Neurospora crassa OR74A: one gene and its partners. The protein of the gene in region 1 binds, or shares a complex with, the protein of each later gene. Links are inferred from orthologs where the notes say so. Each region holds a gene or a part of one and is shown in the gene's direction. Other genes may lie near its edges. The genes, in order: NCU07683, NCU01601, NCU03085, NCU09512 and NCU03766.

Region 1 (4,260 bases):
GCCGTCCTTCCAACCTTGTTTGTCATCTTATTTGATGGTCTGGTTGCCTTTTTGCTACTATAGTCAAGACTTACACGCCTTTTGTCCGTCCACTATCGTAGCTTGAGACCGAAAATACTGCGGTTGCGCGCGAAAGTTCTACCTCTCTGTTAGGTACTCTACACGAACCACATAGCCAAAGCTTCGTGAACACTGTGTTCGACAGGTCGATCCACGGGTTTAACTAACCCATCCCACCATGGTAGGAAGTGTTCCGAGAAAGTAGAGCTACTACCAGTGAGCACTGATGCACCAAGAAGGATATGAGACGACTAGAGACTTTCATCTTACTCGTAAAGTCATACTTCTTGGTAGACGAACGGAAGAGATCCTAGAACGTATCCGCTCGCGAACTTCTGTAGAACCTGTCATTTATTTTCTATGTTTCCATTCTGACTGACATCTTTACACATGCTGACACCCGTTACCAAGATCAGAACAATGAGCCAAAGTTATTTCCAGTCATCTTCTACTCCGAGCTGACCGGCATTTATGTTATTAAGGTTATATAGACGGGAAGCCAATATGAACTTTGGTTACAATTGAGGAACAATCTTGTCTTTATGTCATTTACATATCACAGTGAAATCCTCTTTCCCCCTTGTTTCTACCAGGTCTTGTTCTCGACTATAATGAACACGGCCAGGGCGCGTTGTCAAAACCAACTGAGCCATCGAAAAAGAAGGTTTGTGTAGGGCGTTCTACATGTCATTAAATCAACGGTCCAATATGCGAGAAATCCTCAAACTGTGACACTTACCGTTACTCTGAGGGGCGCGAGTTCACTAGGACACTGGGCTCAGAGAAGACAGGAGACACGGCAGATAATGAGATAAACAGCAAAATCAGTGAAGAGCAGGATGCGTTTCCTTGTTAGATCCCACTTATTACAAGGCTCAACAAATCCCTTCGAAACGATACATATGATAGTGCTATAGCCTCAAGTTCCAAACTATCTTTATCAGTCCACTGTTCAACAAGAGCTGCAATAAGGACTGGCGGGTGACTTTTTGGCAATGAATTACTACAGTCTGCTAGTACCATAACACGCACTCTACCTACGACAAATATACACTAGATATGGAGGTAAAGTCTAATGTCTCATTAGTGTCCGAGACTTCTTATTCAACTTTTAAATGTTGGAGGTCAATTAGTCCGGCTATCATTTTCTATATTCAACTCGGGAGCCTCAACTAAGCTTAAGCGTCGTTTGATAGGAACTCTCCTCAAGGGATATGGCAAACTGATTCAACATAGGCGCTTGACATGCCCATGAGTTACAGAAGACTGCGGGGAGTTCTAACTTTGAGCTCCAGCTATAGGGCGCAAAGCGCAAACACTGCATTACTCATTCAGGGCGTGTGGCTCAGTTGGTAGAGCGTTCGCTTAGCATGTTTCACAGCATGCGAAAGGTCCTGGGTTCGATTCCCAGCTCGTCCACTCTTTTTGACTCGATGTCTCTTTGCTCCCGCACTTTTCTTGAAATTACTTGGATCTGGATAACAGTATTTCCAATTGCAGTGAGAACCCGTTTTTTTTTTACTTACTGCTACTCTGAAGCTTTAGATAACAAATATACGTGGGATATTATTCCTTTTTGGCTGTCCCACCTTTTCTGTACACTAAGTATAGTGTATCTCGGGTTGCCGGTTGGCTACAGTCGAACCCCCTGAAACTGCATGTAATCCAGACCGCCAAAATCCATGCACTAAATGGCGTATATGCAGTTTCTGGAGGCGGGGCTTGGGCAAAAATGGCGGATTCAGACCTGGAAATTCTATGCACTAACTAGCATATATGCAGAATCTGGAGTATGCAGTTTCAGGGGGTTCGACTGTATTTGATTTTCGGCTCCCAGATATCCTGGTAAACCATGTCATTGCTCCACGCTACATTTGTTACTCCATAAGCTGTTGCGGCCGGCAAGCTCCAGCTACGCCACGGCGCCAGGACAGGCTTCCCGTCGCGGGCGCACTTCCCTTTGGTCACTACATCCAACACGTCAACTTCTCCTTTTGGTCTCCGTCGCAACAACAATAGGCAGCCTAACTAACGGCTGTCGATTTCCAAACTCACTACTATGGTACGTCGAATTCTCATTGCATATAGCGTCACTTCGGTATCCCTCTTGGAAATGTACTAACCTTTTGCTCCCTCGCAACAAACAGCTACCGTTAGGCATCCTCACCGCGGCGCAAGGCCATCCCATGCTCGTTGAGCTCAAGAACGGCGAAACGCTCAACGGCCACTTGATCCAATGCGATACATGGATGAATCTGACGCTAAGGGAGGTTGTTCAGACCAGCCCGGTTAGTGCTACCTCCTACCTCCGTCCCTCCGTCCCTTCGTTCGAGCGATGATGCACAGTGATGATGATGATGATGAGCGAGTGGATGAAACAAGCAATCCAACACGTCGAAGAGAATGTCGGGGACAAGGCAGCTTACCAACGAACTTTACATGACGTAATAGGAAGGCGATAAGTTTGTGAGGTTACCAGAGGTTTACGTCAAGGGAAACAACGTAAGTCTCGACATTGTCCCCTCCCCCTCCTTTTCTCTCTCTTCTTGCCTCTTGCCAGGAAAGGAGTCAACGATCAATCGACCAGCGGTTTCTAATGGTTATGGGGACAAACAGATCAAATATCTTCGAGTACCGGACGACGTGATCGACATTGCAAGGGAGCAGCAACACAGTCAACACGGTGGACACAGAGGCGGCCGCGGCGGCGGACAGAACAGAGGCGATTATGGCGGCCGTGGCGGCCGTGGCGGACGAGGAGGGGGCGACAGAGGTGGTCACAGGGGAGGCCGCGGCCGTGGCAGGGGCGCATGAGGTGGAATTCCATGTTCTTGGGACAGCGAGCGAGGCGCAACGACCACCCAACGTAGGGAAGTACGGCCTTTTGATAATGATACGATCGATGAACGAGAGGCGCGAGGGGCCGCCGCGATTGTGCGTAGGGGTGAGAGGAAAGGGATGGAGAGCATCAGCCAAGAAAGAAACATGGGCTGCATCTTGCACGGTCCGAATGGGCTTTCACACAAAACCCAGGCGGGGTTGAATGGGGCACGAAGACCATCTCCAGCGACAGACATGCATGATGGTTCATGGGCAGTCATCGTGTGGGCTTTTTGGAAGAGGCCTGGCTCGGACACATAGACCGGACTAGGTGTTCGATGCATCAGCATGGAATTTACGGCACGAAGGATATGACTATTTTAAAGCAAAAGATACCCAAGCTTGAAGTTCCTGGTTGATTTTCTCTTGCACCTAACACAAAAGGCACATTGTATCGCATTATCGTCATTTGAGAGATTCTTTTCCGTTATCAACAAGCATTGAAAGGATTACAAAACTGGCGGCGTCCTGAGACCTCCATGTCACACAAAAATGATGCACTTCGCGGGCGACTTGTTGCAGCTTTTGAGGCAACGAAATAATTGCCCATGGCAAGGAAACAGGTGGTACGGAGCGGCTACAACTATGGAAGGAGTTACTCCAAAAAAAAAAAAAAAAAAAAAAAAAAAAAAGAAGAAAAAGAAGAAAGAAGGAAGAAAAAAAAAGAAATTAGAGGAAAAAACTCAAAAGTTGAGGTCGTACCCGGAATCGAACCGGGGTTGCCGGAATGTTCTGAAGGAAATCAGAATCCGGAGTGATAACCGCTACACTATACAACCTTGTGAGTTGTTTTAGTTGATTTGTTCACTCGCCTGATTCTCTTATAATGACCACTACCAGATTCTAGCAAGCCATTGAACTAGTTATATAATCTCCATTCCGATGCTTTTGAGTATTTCAGTAATTCTTCTTTTTTTTTTCTCTTTTTTCTTTTCTTTATCAAGCTGCAGATGCGCTCGATGTTTTGAGATCGCCAGCATCCAAAGCCTCTTCATACGCTGGACGCACGGCGCCCATCATCGTGGTCTCTTCTTGCACTCTTTGATCCGACACAACTGTCTCCTTTGGCATCTCGGCAAGCAACTTCTTGATCTCAATCTCGAGGTCGATCTTCCTCTCCCTGGCCACATCAACAACTGCCCACGCTCTGGGATCCATCTCGTTAAAGCAGCGCTTGAGCAGCTGGACCAAAGTCGGGTGACTGATCCACATGCGCCTCGAAGAATTCCTCGCCAAGGGCGCTAGCTCCATTTGCGCCAGGTAGTTGAAGGCGGTGTTGAGGTCGCCATCCACAATCGAGCACCTCACAAAGTCTTCGTA
Region 2 (4,071 bases), on another chromosome or scaffold:
GTTTGTGATGCTGAATTGGTTGGGGTGTAAGAGGAGTGCGGACGCATCGGCAATCTCGAGGGCCTCCTTCTCCTTGTTGAGCCGGTATTTTTTCGAAGTGATGATGTTGATCAGTCGGTCGCGGAGGGTCGAGGCAAGCGCCTTGTGTTCTCTGTTCGCAAGCTCCGTCTTATAGGCATGCGTATTGAGGTATTCGGCGATCTTCTTCTCGTAGTCAAACTGCGGAACCAAGAGTCAGCATTGGCACTTTGACTGGCGGAGCGTTGAACGGTTATGATCGGGAGACGTACTTTAAATTTGGTGAGAGCATAATCGCGTTGCTCTGCAAGATCCTGTACGTTCTCCATCCACTTGGCAAATTTGGGGCCAGCCATGTCAAGGAGGGATCGTGGACCACCGTCGGAGTCGGCGCCATTGAGCTGGTTGAGTCGTCTCTGATCCTCTTCGAAGCTGTCCAAAGGTCGATCGACATAGGGGTCGACTCGCATGACCAGACTGGTGTCAATCTGAATCTTTTGTAGTTGTTCGCGAAAGGCCTGGTCTCTGTCCTTGCTCCATTTGTCGGAAAGGGTTGCAATGCGTTCGGCAAGCATTTGGCGTCGCTTGTCTCTCTTAGACTGTGACTGTGACTGACCGGGAGGAGGAGAAGCGTTGGAGCGGCGATCAGGCCGCCCGGAAGGTGCGTCGGCCATGGTAACGTCGGTAGAAGCCATGGCGAAAGGGGGGTCCTCGTAAATATGTTTCTTGGTTGCCTGCTTTTTTATTGTATCCGGACCAGGTAAGACCAGGCGAGGCAAACCTCAAGGCGAGGCTGGTGGGCGGAAAAAAGAGAGCCCCAGTGCAGAGATTTGAGGCTAGAGGACGAGTAAGTCAAAGTCGACTGGACGACGGGAAGAGAGCTGCCCTCGTCCGCCGATGGACGGGCGCGCAGAATGGTTACAGCGCAAGGGCGAGAGAAAAGGAACGGCTTCTGGTGGTCGAAGCGGGTTTGGACATAGTCCTCATGGGATCTTTTGTGTATAATTGTCGACAGCGAGGGTACGTATGGTGCAGATGGAGAAATATGGAGTGGCAGAATGAAATGGGGTTGACAGCAGGTTGAGCCGAAGCAGAAGGACCGGAGAATGCAGTGCGGCACTACCTAGGTAGGTACAGGCAAACCAGCACAGGGAGGTCAGTGCAGGTCCCGTCGGCTCATTGTCCGGCCACCGGGTTGAATAATACTGTAGGTTGCTGCACAGCGCTTGGTTTCACCTTGCCCTGGCAGTGTTTACTGACTAGACATACAGTCCGGTGATCATGGAAGCTCCACCGCACAGGCGCTGTACCTAAGCGAGAGCAGTCTGCCGCAGGAAGCAGCGATAGGTTTGTATGAGCCGAGCTGATTGCTGAAGTGGATAAAGCTGAGATTCGCTCCGTCTTGTGGCTCAACCTGCGATGTGGCTGACTTGTATCATGTACATATACGCAAATTGCCTGCCGGAAGGAAGCTGGAATCATCCACTAAAAGCTTATGGCAGGAGCCGTGTAAGTAGAGTGGTAAAAAGATCTGTGCGACTCGGGCTGTCCTTCAAGGAACACACTTCTCGTCGCTGCCTCTCACCGTGAAAGTGGGGTGAACTGCACAAACAGCGGAGCAAGCCCAGGGCAGCCCAGGGCAGCAGCTATGTACTAAGGTAGGTATGTACGCAGTAGGTAGGTAGTAGTATGTGCGGGCAGGCAACGTCAGGGCGGGCAGCTGTCCCATCGCATCATTGCATCCCGCTTCCCATTCAACAACCTTGAAGACACCCCCCGAAACTTTACAGATGGACTAGAAGACATAGGCCATCTTCAGCACACAACCATGGAACACCTCTCGATAAACGATCAACCCCCACCGCCGCCCTTCCCTCAGGGCCCCGGCCAGCCTGGACCCGGCATGCCCCCGCCGGGACTCCTAGGAGGCGGCCGTCCTCCCCAGCCCCAGCAGTTGCCCGCGCAAATGTTCACCACAGCTGCCCAACTCCTCGACCTGACCGATAGTAAGAAGCAATATTGTGGACATATCTTTTGGACGGGAGGAACTAGGCTGACACGAGCGGCGGGGTACCAACAGAGAAGCTAATGGTAGCATTGCGCGACGGACGAAAGCTCACGGGCATCCTCCGCAGTTGGGATCAGTTTGGTATGCCTCCATGAACCTACCTCTCTCTTACAACACATGACCACCTATACACGCACGCACGAACGAGCACGAGTATGAAGAGGTAGCTGTGTTAACGCGAATCCACTTTTTTCCCACCATACTAGCCAACCTAGTACTACAACAGACAAAGGAGAGGATATTCGTGCCTCCAGGCACGCAGTCACCCACCCAGACCAGGGGGCTCTACGCCGACGTCGACCGGGGCCTCTTCGTTGTTCGCGGCGAGAACGTTCTCCTCATGGGCGAGATCGACCTTGACCGCGACGACGACCCGCCCCCGGGCTACGACCCTGCCGACCTCGAACTGGTGCAGACACTAGCCAAGCAGAAAAAGGCCGAGGAGAAGGCCAAGGAGAAGCGCAAGATCAAGAAGCTTTCCACCATTGGCTTCGAAGGGGAGAACGTAGGCGAGGCGCTTCTGTGAATGATATATGAATCACCCTCAAATTTTACAAATGGGACGGAAAGAAAGAGACGGGAGGAGAGACGACCAAAACTTTAACTTGTTATGATTTATACCTACATACCCCTGAAGTGGAAAGGGAGTGTCGAAGGAGGGAATGGCATGAGCGATTGGAAGCAGAATATTGTGAAATGCTATCCACTCAGCTGCGACTTCATACGAATGGAAGACCGCATGAAGCCTTACACCAAGGTCGGCCCAAGAAGACACCAAGTGTATTTTACCGTTAGAAAATTAGCAATTCGATGGATTGCCTCGAATCGAACCTGGCCACTACTGACTATGATCATGTTGGGAAAGGATAGCCCAGAGAGATATCCACGACTAACATTCTTTCCTAGGACTAGTCACATAGCCGGCACAAACCCATCGACTTCAACATCCTCCCACCCACCCGCCATCATCGATAACTACGCCGAGCTCGGGAAATGAGGCGTTGGCACTCATGACCAACCAACCGATTACCCAGCATCATCAAACTGAAAGATGATATGCAGCAAGTACTCAACCACCTGCTGCGGGGGTTGCGTTCCACATGCCAACAAAGGGGGGGTTGAACTTGTTTCGGTCGGAATAGGGAAATCCAATGTACCTCACGTTGATCCACTGAGGGTTCTGTATAAGCCGCTGGGAGATGTCGTTGTGGGCTGGGTTGGGCTGGCTGTAGGCCATCACTAGGTCTTTCGTAAGTCCACCACTATAAATCTGTGAAGTCGTCCATGAATGTATGGTTGGGCGTGGTGGGTAAACTGAAGTTGTACCAGCCCCATGTCGAGGGCGTGGCGTAGGGCTTGAAGGTCTGCAAACGCAAGAAAGAAGAAGGAGGGTAAGATGCCACAATTCCGGGTGCAAGCTCACTTGGGCTATCTCACGGTCATTGTCCTAGGCAAACCTTTATGATATACTTATCGGCGCAGTTTCAACTTGCTTGGGGCAAGTTACTTAATCTTGGCGGGCCCTTCTCCTCATCCTCATCTAATCGGGCACCACCCTAGGGCAAATCATGGATCGTCGACATGGTGAAGCCATTATTGGCCTGTCCACCCGATTGTCTGGGGGAAAGTGAGGGGAATAGCTGTCCGGGAGAAGGTAAAGTTGGACACATAAAAGACATTTAGCTATTTCTCATTGTCTCCGGTCGCCGTTGTCCCCAAGGTCGTTGATTGCGGGGTGCATTGGCGTCGTTGTGAACGAAGAAGCTCGGTGGGAGAACCTCGAGATGAATCTTCCACCATCCCGGTGCAACATGTGTTTTCAAACATGAACGATGGACCACCCAACGACAGCTGTACGGATAGTCCCGCACAAAGGAAGCCTCGGAGATGAACAGCCCCATGGGTAAGAGGAGTTGTTTGCCATGTGCGTGGCTGCTCTAGCGAGACCGGGAGTGCCGTCCACCCGCGATTCGAAACGTCCCATG
Region 3 (4,666 bases), on another chromosome or scaffold:
CAATGCTTAGGCTGTCCGCCATGGCAGCTCCCAACAAAGTGTAATCCGTTGCGACACTGATCATATGGAATCCCTTGTCGGCATACTGCTTGGCCTGCTCTCCGCCTGTGCAGAAGATGCCGCACTTTTTGCCTGCCGTTACGGCAGCCTTCAGGATCCTGTCAATAGCCTCATCTAGCTCCGGATCCATCTTTCCCTCGATAATCGGGTGGCCGATATTGTTACCCAAGTCAAAAGGACCAATAAAGATGACATCCACAAGCGGAGCTATCTCTTCAACACAGTCCAAGGCTTCCTGTGTCTCGATCTGCACCATGGTCAAGAGACTCTCGTTCGCTTGCTGGAGGTATTCGGTGAAGGTTGGCATGGGGTTGAAGTTTTGCATAGCGATGGGTGATCCAAACCCTCTCTTGCCTTCGGGTGGGAACTTTGCCGCGGTAACCAAGTTTTTGACATCCTCAACAGTCCTGATGAGCGGCGCAAGGATCTGGAGCACGTCAGAAAAATGTCTCCAACACAGGATACTCTTATACACTCACTCCATGCGCACCACTATCCAACGCTCCTGTAAAGGGTACATCAGTAACCGTCTGAGTGATAAGGCAATACGAATGGCACTCACGCTTGACCATCGATGGCTGAAGGTCTGGGATCCGGACAATAGGAGAAACGCCCAGGGCAGCAATGGCCGGAACTGCTTCGTGCATCGCAGCATCTGACCAATATCATTCAGCTCAACAAGCCCCATCATTCACCACCGTATTACGGGTTACCTACCGTCGATGTTTCCATGCTCGCAGTCAACCATTACCCAGTCAGCCCCCGATCGAGCGAGAATCCTCGAGATATTGGCCCCGGGTAGCATCTGCCAGACACCCATAGCAGGGCGGCTTTCCTGGGTGAAGATTTGCTTCAACGAATTGGCCGCCAGCATCTTGGAAGTTGGGTTACCGGAAGACATTGTACGGAGTTGGTGAAGCGGAGTGACGTGAACGACTTTGTTCAGTGAAGAGATATGATGCTTCAGGAGTTTTAACGTACGAAGGGGAGGAAAGGCATGCCAAGTCAGTGGGGATGCAGGTGGAAGCTCGGACTAAGTCAACCCGAACTCTTTTAAAGCAAATCCGATAACACACAGTACACACTATGATTTCAAAGTTGATGTGCAGCTCCGAACCAAGGTCCCGCCGCCACATACTCGAGGTCAACTGTAATAACCTGACGGCAGATGGCGAGGAAATGTACTGGCTGCGTTGGGTGAACAAGTTCAATTGCTGGCCAATTTGGTACACCTTCGGGAGATGTTCGTCCCCTGCCTTCGTCCAAGAGATACACAGTAGGGCGGGGCTCCTACTGCGGGGTTCGCGTCTGTATCTCCCTCCGCATTCGGTTCTACCTAGGCTGTTCTGACTGGAGACACCACAACCTCTGCCGGTATTCGGATTATTGACATGTTCAAACTTTCCGAGTCACGGGAACGGCAGGTTCAATGGGCTTGAATGGTCTCATGGAAGTCCTTCAAGCCATGGTGGACGTTGACATCCGCATCTTGGCCCTGCTATACGTATAAGCTTCCACAGAATTTCATAGGGCTCTTTGAGACTGCCGCAAGTCAGCGACGAGAAGCTCCAGGAGGAGAAAGCTCTGCATTTCTGATGGTAGACCATACGATGATGAAGGCAATTATTCAAGCAGCAACCGAAAACAGTTGAGGGCTGCATTGACACCCCAAAGCGGATAAAAGTAAACAAAGCAACCCTCCCGAATGAAAAGGGGCAAGCTGATGGGTGAGCGTCGCTTTTGCGGCAGGCAATTGAGTGGAGAATGGATCCGCTTCAGAAGCTCCAGCCTTCACCACAGTGCTGGTACGTTGTCTGCCGTGAGCCGTCGTCAGTGATCTGGGCTTGGCGATTCTACGGAAGAACAAGAGAAGCTCCAGCTTCAACGGCGACGTTCTTGTCCCATCCCCACGATTTAACCACATCCCTCCCCGCCAGCATTACGTACCCACTATTCTTCTTTGACGCGGCGCGCCGACCAGGTTGTATTCCTCTTTCGCGATCGGTCAACGAGAAACGAAAACATCAATAACCACGAACCAATTGCCCCATTCGAAGCGACGAACGACCAAACGACCCCATCCGGCCGGGCTTACCAAGATCACACGAAGCGAACAAATTGCCCTCGAGTTGAACCGACGACTTTCTGTCTGCAACCACGTGTTTCGCTTGAATCAATACTCTTCAAGTTAGACCGTGGGCTTTACGTGATACTTTGCTTATCACCGCGGTCTTGGGCCCGCGCATTGCCGGTACGAGAAAACACACAAAGACTACAGTAATAGCATCTACTCATCCGTCACCATGTCGGCGGGCTTGGTAAATTCGTACCTCAACAGTTGGTCTACCCTTCTACCTGAGCCCTTCGGCTTTTTCGACCCCTCTTCCTCTTTCCTCCATTGCTTCGGTCACAAGATCAATTGGTCACGGCATCCCAAAGTTAAAGGATATTCGCAAGACCAGAAAGCTAACAGATCCATCTTTCGTTACTTTAGAAAAGGTTTGCATAATTACAGTCGATGGCCGCACCTTAGTAGGCACACTGATCTCGGTAGACATGAGCACGAATGTGGTCAGTATATGCTCCCTCCCAATCCATACTTCGATACAGTTCCTCTGCCACCTGATAAACAAAACAAAGCATATCGCGAACGACAACTAACCCTCCAACAAACTAGTTCCTACAAAGAGCAGTTGAACGAGTCATTCGCTCCCCCGATGATGACGAGCCCTCGGCCGAGATCGAGCTGGGAACGCACATGATTCGCGGGGACACGGTCTGCCTGGTTGGGTTGGTTGATGAGCCGCTGGACGAGAGCATAGACTGGACCAAAGTCAAGGGGGCTACGATTGGGACGACAAAGCACTAGAATATACCACCGAACCATTGAACCGTTTCTGCGCTATACCTGAGCGCGTGAAGCATGGTGTCACGCTCCCTCAAAACCAAGAAGAGGAGGCAGGAGAAGGAAACCAAGGGGAAAAAAGACAAAAGTCGAACGGTGTGGCGGTCGCGGGCAGTTGACATAAAGGACAACACCGGTGGATAATGTGCGTGGCACACAAGATTTGGTTGCATCATTAGCATTTGACACGCGGAGCTACAGGTTTTCTTTTACTACATTGGTATGCCCAATCGACGATCTTTCTTCCCCTCTTACTTCCCCGTTAAGACTTATGCTGACCGACGAAGAAAAAATAAAACAAGGTGTCACGGGCAGGTCCAGCTCTCGGTTTAAGGAACCCAGCGAATATTGATTTCAGATACCCCAGATCTCAAAAACTCCGCGTGGAATAGATTCGCTTTCTATATACAAAAGAAGAAGAAAATCAACAAGTGCTGCCGGCAGGTTCAACCAAAGAGTCTATCCATCAAGATGGCGGCAAACTTCTCGTCGCCGGGGGTCTTGACCATCCTGTTAATTCTGTTTCCCTTGTTCACGCTTAGCCAGCCCATGTCGTCTCCGGGGACATCGTCAAAGGTGGTCGCATCCAGAGGATCCGACGGATGCGTCTCCACCTTGCTTGACTGCTCACCCGGCTTCGCCCTCTGTCGTCTGTCGATGACATGCATGCCCCTGGTCCATTGGCCGGAGGTCTCAATTCTAATATCTTCCGGCTTCGCCACGGGTTCCCATGCGGGGTCATCCTGGGTCAACATGTACCAAATGCATGCCGGGTCATGGAGGGACAGACCGGGCTCACTGCCGTCGCCAAGCATGGCTTCGACTTTGTTGAAGATGCCTGTCATGAAGGTCTCGATCCACAGCGCAAGCGGGCTGCCGGACTTGGTGATCGGCTGGATGGTCTCGTAGAAGTACTTTTTCCTCAGCTCGAGCGGGGTGGTGATATCAAGAGGGAAAAGGGTCAGCTTAAGCTGCTTGGAAAGCTTGGCGGGGTAAGGGGGCAAAAAAGATTTGCCGTGGATGACAGGGGGCATGGTCGAGCTCGGGTTGGGCGAGGTCAGGGCGTAGACGCGGGCGGCGGCAACGGTATCGGCGAAGCAGTTGAACTCGGCGACGGGGGTCACGTTGCCCTCGACGTTTACGGCACCACCCATGACAACCAGCTCCTTGGCGCGCAGGAAGGTTTCGGGGTCCTCAGCAGCGGCCAGCGCCACGTTTGTCAGGGGACCAACGGCAACGACGGTGACGGTGTTCTCGGGCGATTCCTTCAGGACACGGAGAATCTCCTTGTGCGCTGGAGCCTTGCTTGGGGTGAAGTACTTGGAGTACGAAGGAGGCTCGACTTTTTCACCCTGGGGCTCTTCGTCGCTGAATAGAGAGCGCCAGGTGTCGGCGGGGGAAAGATGAGGTTGCTGGGGCGGTGGTCAGGTCAAACGTACCATGACAAGAAACGCAACGCAGTCCTCGGAGTTCACTTACCTTCTCGTGGACACCATGTAAACCGTCGGCACCATCTGCAATTTGTTAACTGCTTTGTTTCTGAGGGAAAAGCGGTGGGGGTCTCAGTCTGTCTTACGGAAGTGGTCGGCCGCGAGGATCTCATCCTCCAGCGCGTGCTCCGGACCAACGGCGACAATGGGTTTATGGGTGTTGAGGGCACCGAAGCCGCGAGTGCTCTTGCCTGTCTCCTCGCGCCACTTC
Region 4 (4,269 bases), on another chromosome or scaffold:
TGTTTTTGATCAGCCATTCGACGTATATTTTGTATTGCGGGAAGCCGGGTGTGGCGTTGTAAGGAGGGGAGGTCATAGTGTCCCAGATTAGTTGAACTGCGTTGCGGTGTAGTCGGCGGCCGGGGATCGAAACGATCTTCCACTCTTTTGCCGCCCGAGGAGAGGTGTGAATGTAGGCCCATTCAAGCAGTTCGAACCAGACTGATGGGGGAATCGAAAGGCGGTACACGGCAGAAACGTGGTCGAGCATCTTGCACGCCATGGCTATCATGCCGTTCGACCCATAACAGGTGGCGATTGTCTGCAAAAGACGGGTGGTAGGAGCCATGGGCGAGCCAGGCAGAAAGTCTCGCCGCCCGCCGGTGATCTTCAAGTCGCCGGTTTCGATGGAGCCAGAGACATCAATCTTGTAGTTAAAGTATAGAACGGACTGTACGTCTTCCATTACCCCTGTCCTGGCGTAGGCGATGAGAGCAGCGCAGACGAACTCTTCTGACAGTAGATGTAACCGGTTTCGCGCGGTGCCAAAGACGAGATCGACGGGTGAAGTCCGCCGTAACATCCTCATCAGATAATCCACCTTGTGCTCTGCGCCAGGATTCTGCCCAAACCTGTCCAGCCGCTTGTTGGTCTTGTCAAAGTTCATCTGTCGCAGCTGAGACAAGTTGTCAGGCGTGAAGTACGGCAGAAACCGCTGCTCGGGAAAGAGGTTTACAGGCTTGACGCGGAAGTCATGCCGGTTGTGTTGGGTATACAACGGTTCCGTCAAGAACCGGGCCTTGAGAAATTCGGCATACAGGTCCGTCTGGCGCTCCCACATCTTTTCAGAGACGTTCATGTGGAACCAGATCTTGCGAGCCAAGAGGGGGTCCGAAATCGATCCGGCGCATCGCAGCAGGACTTTGTAGTCGGACAAAAGAAGGGGAGAACCCGAGCGGAATCGACGAAAGGCAGCTTCGTGAACTAGGGGGTAAAGGTCGGTGTTTCTTTTTCTGACGCCGTAATTATTGACCAGAGCCCCCAAAGGGGACCAATCGGCCATGGCTGGGTCGACCCATATGTCTCCTAACGGATCTTGGTCTTTGTGAACGGCTTCGACGGGGTCAACGGAGCGGAGAAGTTCGCTGAATGCTGTTGGTGGAAGTTGAAGGATCTCGAGTTTGTTCTCCTTGAAATAAGTGAGCATTTTGTGGGGTTGTCTGAAGGCCGCGGTGAAGCCGTCTATCCAAGGCGACCGTTTTGTCACAGGTGGCTTCTTTGCGACGACGGGTCTTGCGAGAAGGGTTCGGAGGAGGAGGAGCTCATCTTGCTCGAGGGGCTGTCGAGGTCCGTCAAGTTGGTGACCGAATCCATGGTGGGCAAAGTTGCCTGGGTATGGAATTGCTGAGATGGGTTTTGCTGTTTGGGTCGTAGAATGGGGGAGCTTCTGGAGCTTGTTGACGGCGGAGGCTAGTCGTCGAGATTTCGGAGAAGGAACTCGAACCCCACGACAGGAGAGAAGGGCAGCCATTGGGTTGCAAATTGGGGTTGACGGCGTTGTACACCACCCCCATTGGCGACTTTCGTCCGCAATTGAAGCTCGGCCGTGGTGTTGAAGGGGAGCTGAGTGCCCTGGTGGGCGTGCCTAGGTACTAACTGAAGTCGAGGTGTAAGTCAACCCCGCTAACTCAAAGAGGAGAAGTGCGATGGATCTCGCGATGCCCGCCTTTGCAAATCCGGGGAAGGCCTGTTGTCACTTTGGGCGCCTGTTCCTGCCAAGACCTTGCCCAGCCGAAGCTCTGGCATAAGCGTTTAAGAACCGGTCAAGCTTCCACTTCGGAAGCGGTCAGTGCGTCGGGCTGCTTCAGTTGCTCTTGGCATGCGACCAGCTGGCACTGACCTCAATTCGCACCGAAGCGAGCGCTTCCAATCGGGCAGGCATGGAAACCCCCCGCCGTCCGTCACTGGCACTGGACTCACTCATCATCGTTCCAGGGCGCTGCAGCTGAGGTCCCCGCCATCAACAACAGGAACACAACGCCAACTTCATTTTTTTTTCTCTCTCTTCACTCGTTATTTATTTTTGGCTCTTTTGATATCACACATCACACAAAATGGCCGACGCAGTAGAAGATGCCGGCTCTGTTTCCGAGCCCATGGACCTCGTCCGCCTTTTGCTTGACGAGGTTGTCTGCGTCAAGCTGAGAGGTGATCGGGAGCTCAAGGGCCGTCTGCACGTAAGTCCACTCTTATGTTTACATATCCCCTTTTCAGTCGTCACATCTTTCCCGTTACGCCTCACTCACCACCACCCGAACTCATTGCTAACTCGGATACTGTGATGTAGGCCTACGACTCCCATTGCAACCTTGTCCTCGGGGAAGTCGAAGAGACCATTTACGTCGTGGATGATGAAGATACCGAGGAGGATGACCTGAAGGTATGCCATCTTTTCACTTACCCACCGCCACTCTCTCGTCAAACCACCTCTCACCCCTTTCCCATTATACCCACCCTCCTTCCCCTTTCCTTCTCATACCTCGTTTGTCTTTTTTGCTTTCCCTTTCCGTCACTCTCATATACTAACAAAAAGGCAGACCATCTCCCGCAAGTCCGAAATGCTCTTCGTTCGCGGCGATTCCGTCGTGCTCATCTCGCCCTTTACCCGTTCTTGAGAAGAGGCCGTGTATGTGGAGCGACCAGTTGACGAGCACGATTTCCGCCACCGCTACGGCATCAAACCCTTCTCCGGTGGCCCGCTTGGCCAGGACCGGTTGCCCATCGGCAGGTGGAACTTATTGCACGTGGCGGATGAGGCGCAGTTTTGGGAGGGGGTAGATAGGGAAGAGGAGGAGCATTTGGAAGAGAAGGGAAAGGAAACGGCAACGGCGGAGGGTTCTGGACAGTCAGCAGCCGAAGGTTTGTCTCAGTGGGAGTTGGACATGGGTCGTCGCTAAGCCTACCTACCTAGGTGGTGGCTACCTCAAGGTCGAGAGGGGCGGCGCTTACAAAGGAAACCGGTAACCAAGCTTCGGGAAGAGGATAGGAGAGAGATACAAGGAGAGAAGTTGGCTTGAGATGTGACTATCACCGTCATCACATCACGTTCATCGTTTGTCGTTAGAGCCGAAAGATAGATCACGGCACAGATATACCATTGTTATTCCCGGCCATGGAGCATTGATAGCCAGGCAATCTCCTTCCTCCTGAGGAGGCTGAAAAGGATCGCTCGTACAAAGAATACAGTACGTTGCTCAAGAATTTTCATATGTTCATTTGAGAATACCTGTAGGTCACTCATCTTCCACCGACACATACAAAAGCCATATCGTCCATGATACTACTACTACTACTACTCCTACTACTACTTGAATATCTGCAAGTAGTGGGTCACCACTAGTTCTGTACTGTGCCCTGACTGCGCCGCTCCGTATATGAGCCATCAAAACGAGGAGATGAGGCCATGCATCAAAGAAAGTATAAAGAAAAAAAGGTAACGCGGCCCCCAACTTGGGTCATCACAACATCATCTGCCCAACGCCAAATCAGCACCAGGTGCCAGGTCACTAAGCACCAACCTTCACCTCGTTACCGCCACCCTCATGTTTGACATCTTCAACGCCCGCAGCCACCTTATCACCCCCTTCACCTACATTAACCCCGCCCAACGGCCGTTCAGGATCATACCCCACACTCTTGACGATACCCAACCCCTTGGTTCTGCCTTCTCTGAAGAGAAGTCTGTCTCCCGGGACTAGGTATTCGGGTCTCTGGACAAACCGAAACGCGACGGTAGCCCGATCGCCGGTCCTGATAAACGGACGATCAACGTCGATGATGGCGCATGTCTGGGAGACGGGGCCGACATGAAGCATGGCCTGGTATTTGGTTTTGATGGTGGTTGCGTGGGAGAGGATGAGGACTAGTGCACGTTAGGATACATACAGAATTTTTTGAATGGCACCAAGGGGCAGAGGAAAGTAAAGACAAAAGGAAGCGCTGTGTTTACTTACCTTCAGCAATGAACTCCCGATACACCTTCGGCGGTCCACTTTCAGTCTTGGAGAGCACCACCATTCCCTTACGAACGTCCTTTCTCTTGACCCTCTTCAACGCGAAGCTGGCTGACTGTCCCGCGCTCGCCGCCGGGACGCCTATCCTCTTCCGCTCAATCGACCTGATGGCCGTGGTCGTGAACTTGCCCAAGCCATCCGGCCCCAGGTAAACCTCATCACCCGCATGGATGACCCCCGACTTGACGATTCCCGAGACGACCGTGCCGACGTGGGG
Region 5 (3,911 bases), on another chromosome or scaffold:
GATTTGGTCCATGTTCAGGGGCTTGGACCATTCACTTGTCCGGACTGCTCCTTTGAACATTGGCAACTGGAGGACCTCCTTTACCAATGTTGCCAACGGGACAAGGCGTCTGTTGACAAGCTTGTGCTCACCGGAAGCAGAGTACTTGACGAGCTTATACAAGTGAGAGAGCTCATAAATTCCCTTTGCTTCGATCCCGAGGAACGTTTTCAAACGGGTGCAGTCGCCCATGATCCAGACACCGGCTTTGACAACATCGGCGTCCTCGATGATTTGCTTGAGTAACGGAGAAGCAAGCTCATCCTTCCTCGGATAGAGCGAAATGTGAAAGATTCCAATACGCTTCTCCGAAGCAATCTGGATAACCGACACGTTTTGCCTCGGGCCGTGGCTCTCCTTTGCGCTGATTTCCCATTCCAAGTCAAGACCGAGAATCTTCTCATCCATGAAGTACTGCTTCAAGACCCTCTCAGTGGTGGTCGCACTTCTGCAGTAATGGACCTTGACCTTCTCGTTCATGTTTCCATCCTTGTCGGGCCCACGATAGAGGTTGTAAGTCCAGTAAGACTTTGGAGTGCCCTCGGCCGCCTTCTTCGCCTCCTTGAAGAGATCCTCGGACATGGTGAAGCTGAGTGGTGTAAACGGAGGCTTGAGAGAAGCATCCTCATCTTTCGACTCAACGTTCCCATCCTCGAGTATGAGTTGGAACTGTTCCTCCAGCCCTTCCTGTGCATCAACAAACTCCTGCCCCTGGGAGTCTAACGTCGTTCCATTCGCGTCAGGATTTCCCTGAGGTACACCTGTGGAGTTGAAGACACCATCGTGGTTGGGCGGAAGAACAGGTTCCGGGTTTGAGGCTGCTGACACCGCAGAGTCGCTGTGATATCTTGCCAAAGATGGCAGTTGCGGGTATCCAACGCTGCCGCGACTATCGCCAGCAAACGTAATGCCCCGGCTTGAATTCCACGTCTGATCTTTCCTCTCCATGGCGCCAAGATGTCTTGATTTGTGTAAAACCCTGGTCAGCCAAAAATATACGGAGAAGTAGTAAGGACCTGGAAGAGCCAGTGAACCTACACTGGATAACGGGATGTGGAAGGAACCGAGGATGAGGGCGAAGAAGCAAAGAAACGCCGCCGGCATTGCCTCAGAGTCAAGCTGGTGGTGCTGTTTACGGCGTTGGCACCGGCGCCGATGGCTTGTGGTATAGGGTGCGGGGACCTCATTATAGCGATGGATGGCAAGCGCAGATCACAAAGTTGCCGAGTGCGTGGGAGGTATGCGTGGTAGAGGTAGGTAGGTAGTAAGTAATGTTGCAGGTTGTCAAGGCCCAGAGAACTGCGCCATGACCTGTCGATTCGTTTGAATGCTGACAGAGGGGAACGAGACGAAAAGGTGTTTGGTGGTTTCAGGGCACTGATATGAATGTTGGTTCGGTCAAAGTGGGGGAACCAAGAGAAGAAGTCGGAGACGGAGTGGACGTTGAAACTTCAAGTTGAACAAATATTGGACCGAGAAATACCTTGTCACGGGCAACGTTGGCTGCTGGCAGGCAGAAACGCGAACGTATTTGGTTGCCTCCGAATACTGAAATCACAAACGAACTGTTTGCTTTGTTCACAAGGAAGGGTCGATGTGAACTAATTGATTCGGTTGCCACTGCAACAGCAGCGCTGTCACGACGTCCAGCCGCTGCCGAGTTGCTGCTGCTGAAGCCTAGGTAGATACCCCGTTTATTCTCATATGCATGGGTACAAGCATAAGCTGCGCCAAGAACGAATCCGAGTCCACGCTGATACTGTGGGAATTACTGATCTTTTTTCACTGTACAACAGCTTAGTACGTACGCCCTGTCGCCTTGTTGGCCTCACAATCGAAGCTCAGTGAACAGCCACTGAACGTCCCTTTCGACATCCAGACTTACCTAAAGACTCGACCATTCCACACCACATACAACATGGCCTCGCAATTACTTCCTCTCGGTGAGTGAGAGAGCTCATGCTGGGCACCACTACTTAGGTATCCAAGAATAAGACAGCTAACGTGGTTTTTTTCCCCAGAGCTCATCGACAAGTGTGTTGGTTCCCGCATCTGGGTTGTCATGAAGGGAGACAAGGGCACGTTATGCCATCCTAGCTGTCCCTGCTGGATTTTGACTTATCGATGGATGTGCTGACTGATGATGGAATGAAAACAGAGTTCGCTGGCACTCTTGTTGGTTTCGATGACTACGTTAGTAAGTAGCGGGCCTCTCCTCACCATCCCCTGTCTTCATATCGTCCCACGGAGCCTTATGCTAACTCACTTTCAAATAGACATGGTTTTGGAGGACGTCACTGAGTTGTACGACGCGTCCTACTCTGGAAGTAGTTCATGAAGGACATTACTAACTTCACTCCTGCTCGATCAGCGACTACTCCGGCAACCACACCAAGTTGAAGAAGATCCTGTTGAACGGCAACAACATCTGCATGGTGGGTCATCATCGTCATCAAAGCTCGCGTTTACAAACAACTAACAGCTGTGCTCAGTTGATTCCCGGTGGTGAAGGCCCAATTGCGGCATCTGCCTGATTTGAAGGCTTGAGAGGATACATGAGGCATGGCCGCGTTAGGAAGAAGCAATCATCATCAGCATATCACGAAATACGAATGGACGTTTCTTTGCCCTCTGTCGGTCACTTCAAGAAGAAGTCAATAATAATAGGTAATTCAGACTGATTCCAAAACACCTCCAAGGAAATTGCTGCCATACACAGCTCACATGAGGTAGGTTGAACTATAATCCTCCATCATATTTCATACTGTTTGTTTGACCCGACTTGACCAAAAAAAATTATCTTAGGCTAGCACGATCAGCAGTTCCTCTTAACCTTAACCAAGCGCTTTTGGATCACCTCTTCAATTGAGAAACAAAGCAAGAAAATGGCTGCCTGTTGTTGCAACTCACCTGATCTAGGAGCACCAGCAACATTGAATATCCAAACCCACCCCACCACCCAACCAGCCGTCCTTGCTCTCTTCCACAACCCATAACTACCAAACCAACATTCAACCACCACCACACTTCAAATAGCCTTAGCATCCAAAATCTTGCTCTTACTCTCCTTCGCCTTGACCAGCTCCTCCACCCACTTGTCCACCTCCGCCAACGCCCTTCTGGGGTCCTTCTTGCGCCTCAACAGAAAGCCCTGGATCTCCGCCGGACTGAGGATCTGGGATGCCGGGATTCTCAGGGAAAACTCCCTGGCGATCTTTTGGAGTTCTTGTCTAGTTAGGGGGGTAATGTGGAGAGGGACGGGACTTTCCGTCTTTTCTTCTGCTGGTTCTTGTTGTTTCCCCTTGTCTTTGGCTGTCGCCGCGGCGGCGGCGGTGATGATGGGAACAAGAGGAGGAGCAGCGGCGTTGTCCTCTTCGCCAATGACGGTTGCGTCACTAGAGCAACTGCTGATGGAGGACTTGCGGAGGTTGTTGTCGTCGAGGAGTTTGAGATCAACGATCTTGGGGTCTATGGGGGGCTGTTGTTGTTTTTCTTCATCCTTCTCAGCGGTGGTGCCGGTGCCTGTGCCGGTGCCATCCGGGGACGCAACCCCCGTGTGAGGAGAATGACCGACTGGAGGCAATGTAGTAGCTGCCGATGTGGTGCTAGCTGTGACCTTATTCCCAACCTGGGTAAATGTCACTGTGGCTGGGTTCACCACATCGGCTTCGTACATCCTCTCAAATAGCTCCCTGACTTGTTCCTGCGTGGCGTTGAGGAAAGCAATCTGGATGTCGACCCTGCCCGGTCGAAGTAGTGCTTCGTCTAGCTTCTCTGGCTTGTTGGTTGTCATGATGAGCACGCGGCCTTCATGCGAGGCAACGCCGTCGATGGCGTTGAGTAAACCTGATAGCGAAATGCCCCGTTCTCGG

What was found.
Region 2: the proteins of NCU07683 (region 1) and NCU01601 are in contact, whole or in part, in a crystal structure (PDB 4M75), measured with the Saccharomyces cerevisiae proteins. The link is inferred for Neurospora crassa OR74A from reciprocal best matches to the Saccharomyces cerevisiae genes LSM4 and LSM1. Residues at the interface, in NP_011037.3 of Saccharomyces cerevisiae: Met1, Leu2, Pro3, Leu6, Glu18, Lys20, Trp35, Met36, Gly73, Thr74, Ile76, Lys77, Phe78, Ile79, Lys80, Leu81, Gln82, Asp83, Ile85, Ile86; in NP_012411.1 of Saccharomyces cerevisiae: Val47, Val50, Asp51, Leu58, Asp60, Arg62, Arg69, Thr70, Phe71, Asp72, Asn76, Ile78, Gln80, Arg99, Gly100, Ile101, Phe102, Met103, Ile104, Arg105, Glu107, Asn108, Ser169.
Region 3: the proteins of NCU07683 (region 1) and NCU03085 are in contact, whole or in part, in a crystal structure (PDB 4M77), measured with the Saccharomyces cerevisiae proteins. The link is inferred for Neurospora crassa OR74A from reciprocal best matches to the Saccharomyces cerevisiae genes LSM4 and LSM8. Residues at the interface, in NP_011037.3 of Saccharomyces cerevisiae: Met1, Leu2, Pro3, Leu6, Leu7, Lys20, Trp35, Met36, Gly73, Thr74, Ile76, Lys77, Phe78, Ile79, Lys80, Leu81, Gln82, Asp83, Ile85; in NP_012556.2 of Saccharomyces cerevisiae: Asn28, Gly29, Phe30, Asp31, Asn35, Phe37, Ile50, Lys52, Ala53, Gln54, Leu55, Leu56, Arg57, Ser59, Glu60.
Region 4: NCU07683 (region 1) and NCU09512 share a complex: the UniProt entries of both Saccharomyces cerevisiae proteins name them as parts of the spliceosome U4/U6-U5 tri-snRNP complex. The link is inferred for Neurospora crassa OR74A from reciprocal best matches to the Saccharomyces cerevisiae genes LSM4 and LSM3.
Region 5: NCU07683 (region 1) and NCU03766 share a complex: the UniProt entries of both Saccharomyces cerevisiae proteins name them as parts of the spliceosome U4/U6-U5 tri-snRNP complex. The link is inferred for Neurospora crassa OR74A from reciprocal best matches to the Saccharomyces cerevisiae genes LSM4 and LSM5.

Annotation. Positions count from the first base shown.
Region 1 is NC_026504.1:2,247,361-2,251,620, reverse strand, and holds NCU07683 (small nuclear ribonucleoprotein), read left to right. Parts: upstream 1-1,928; 5' UTR 1,929-2,119; coding exon 2,120-2,122; intron 2,123-2,207; coding exon 2,208-2,348; intron 2,349-2,511; coding exon 2,512-2,562; intron 2,563-2,676; coding exon 2,677-2,874; 3' UTR 2,875-3,463; downstream 3,464-4,260. Other genes in the region: NCU07684 (hypothetical protein), read right to left, coding at 3,880-4,260. UniProt on the Saccharomyces cerevisiae protein: Component of LSm protein complexes, which are involved in RNA processing and may function in a chaperone-like manner. Component of the cytoplasmic LSM1-LSM7 complex which is involved in mRNA degradation by activating the decapping step.
Region 2 is NC_026502.1:2,980,329-2,984,399, reverse strand, and holds NCU01601 (hypothetical protein), read left to right. Parts: upstream 1-1,582; 5' UTR 1,583-1,846; coding exon 1,847-2,024; intron 2,025-2,098; coding exon 2,099-2,167; intron 2,168-2,292; coding exon 2,293-2,612; 3' UTR 2,613-2,916; downstream 2,917-4,071. Other genes in the region: NCU01599 (hypothetical protein), read right to left, coding at 1-219, 291-713. UniProt on the Saccharomyces cerevisiae protein: Component of the cytoplasmic LSM1-LSM7 complex which is involved in mRNA degradation by activating the decapping step.
Region 3 is NC_026501.1:4,492,420-4,497,085, reverse strand, and holds NCU03085 (small nuclear ribonucleoprotein Lsm8), read left to right. Parts: upstream 1-1,883; 5' UTR 1,884-2,363; coding exon 2,364-2,397; intron 2,398-2,554; coding exon 2,555-2,631; intron 2,632-2,737; coding exon 2,738-2,929; 3' UTR 2,930-3,411; downstream 3,412-4,666. Other genes in the region: NCU03086 (HpcH/HpaI aldolase/citrate lyase family protein), read right to left, coding at 1-487, 540-565, 623-715, 778-961; NCU03084 (inosine-uridine preferring nucleoside hydrolase, variant), read right to left, coding at 3,412-4,377, 4,445-4,479, 4,542-4,666. UniProt on the Saccharomyces cerevisiae protein: Component of the nuclear LSM2-LSM8 complex, which is involved in spliceosome assembly. The LSM2-LSM8 complex plays a role in the biogenesis of the spliceosomal U4/U6-U5 tri-snRNP complex by accelerating PRP24-mediated annealing of U4/U6 di-snRNA.
Region 4 is NC_026503.1:55,053-59,321, reverse strand, and holds NCU09512 (U6 small nuclear ribonucleoprotein), read left to right. Parts: upstream 1-1,929; 5' UTR 1,930-2,093; coding exon 2,094-2,216; intron 2,217-2,326; coding exon 2,327-2,419; intron 2,420-2,576; coding exon 2,577-2,654; 3' UTR 2,655-3,240; downstream 3,241-4,269. Other genes in the region: NCU09511 (hypothetical protein), read right to left, coding at 1-1,510; NCU09513 (GTP-binding protein 1), read right to left, coding at 3,546-3,901, 3,993-4,269. UniProt on the Saccharomyces cerevisiae protein: Component of LSm protein complexes, which are involved in RNA processing and may function in a chaperone-like manner. Component of the cytoplasmic LSM1-LSM7 complex which is involved in mRNA degradation by activating the decapping step.
Region 5 is NC_026505.1:2,344,580-2,348,490, forward strand, and holds NCU03766 (small nuclear ribonucleoprotein), read left to right. Parts: upstream 1-1,843; 5' UTR 1,844-1,957; coding exon 1,958-1,982; intron 1,983-2,060; coding exon 2,061-2,117; intron 2,118-2,197; coding exon 2,198-2,236; intron 2,237-2,315; coding exon 2,316-2,343; intron 2,344-2,410; coding exon 2,411-2,474; intron 2,475-2,531; coding exon 2,532-2,573; 3' UTR 2,574-2,768; intron 2,769-2,844; 3' UTR 2,845-3,053; downstream 3,054-3,911. Other genes in the region: NCU03765 (3'-5' exonuclease/helicase), read right to left, coding at 1-1,000, 1,078-1,226; NCU03767 (mitochondrial chaperone bcs1), read right to left, coding at 3,068-3,911. UniProt on the Saccharomyces cerevisiae protein: Component of LSm protein complexes, which are involved in RNA processing and may function in a chaperone-like manner. Component of the cytoplasmic LSM1-LSM7 complex which is involved in mRNA degradation by activating the decapping step.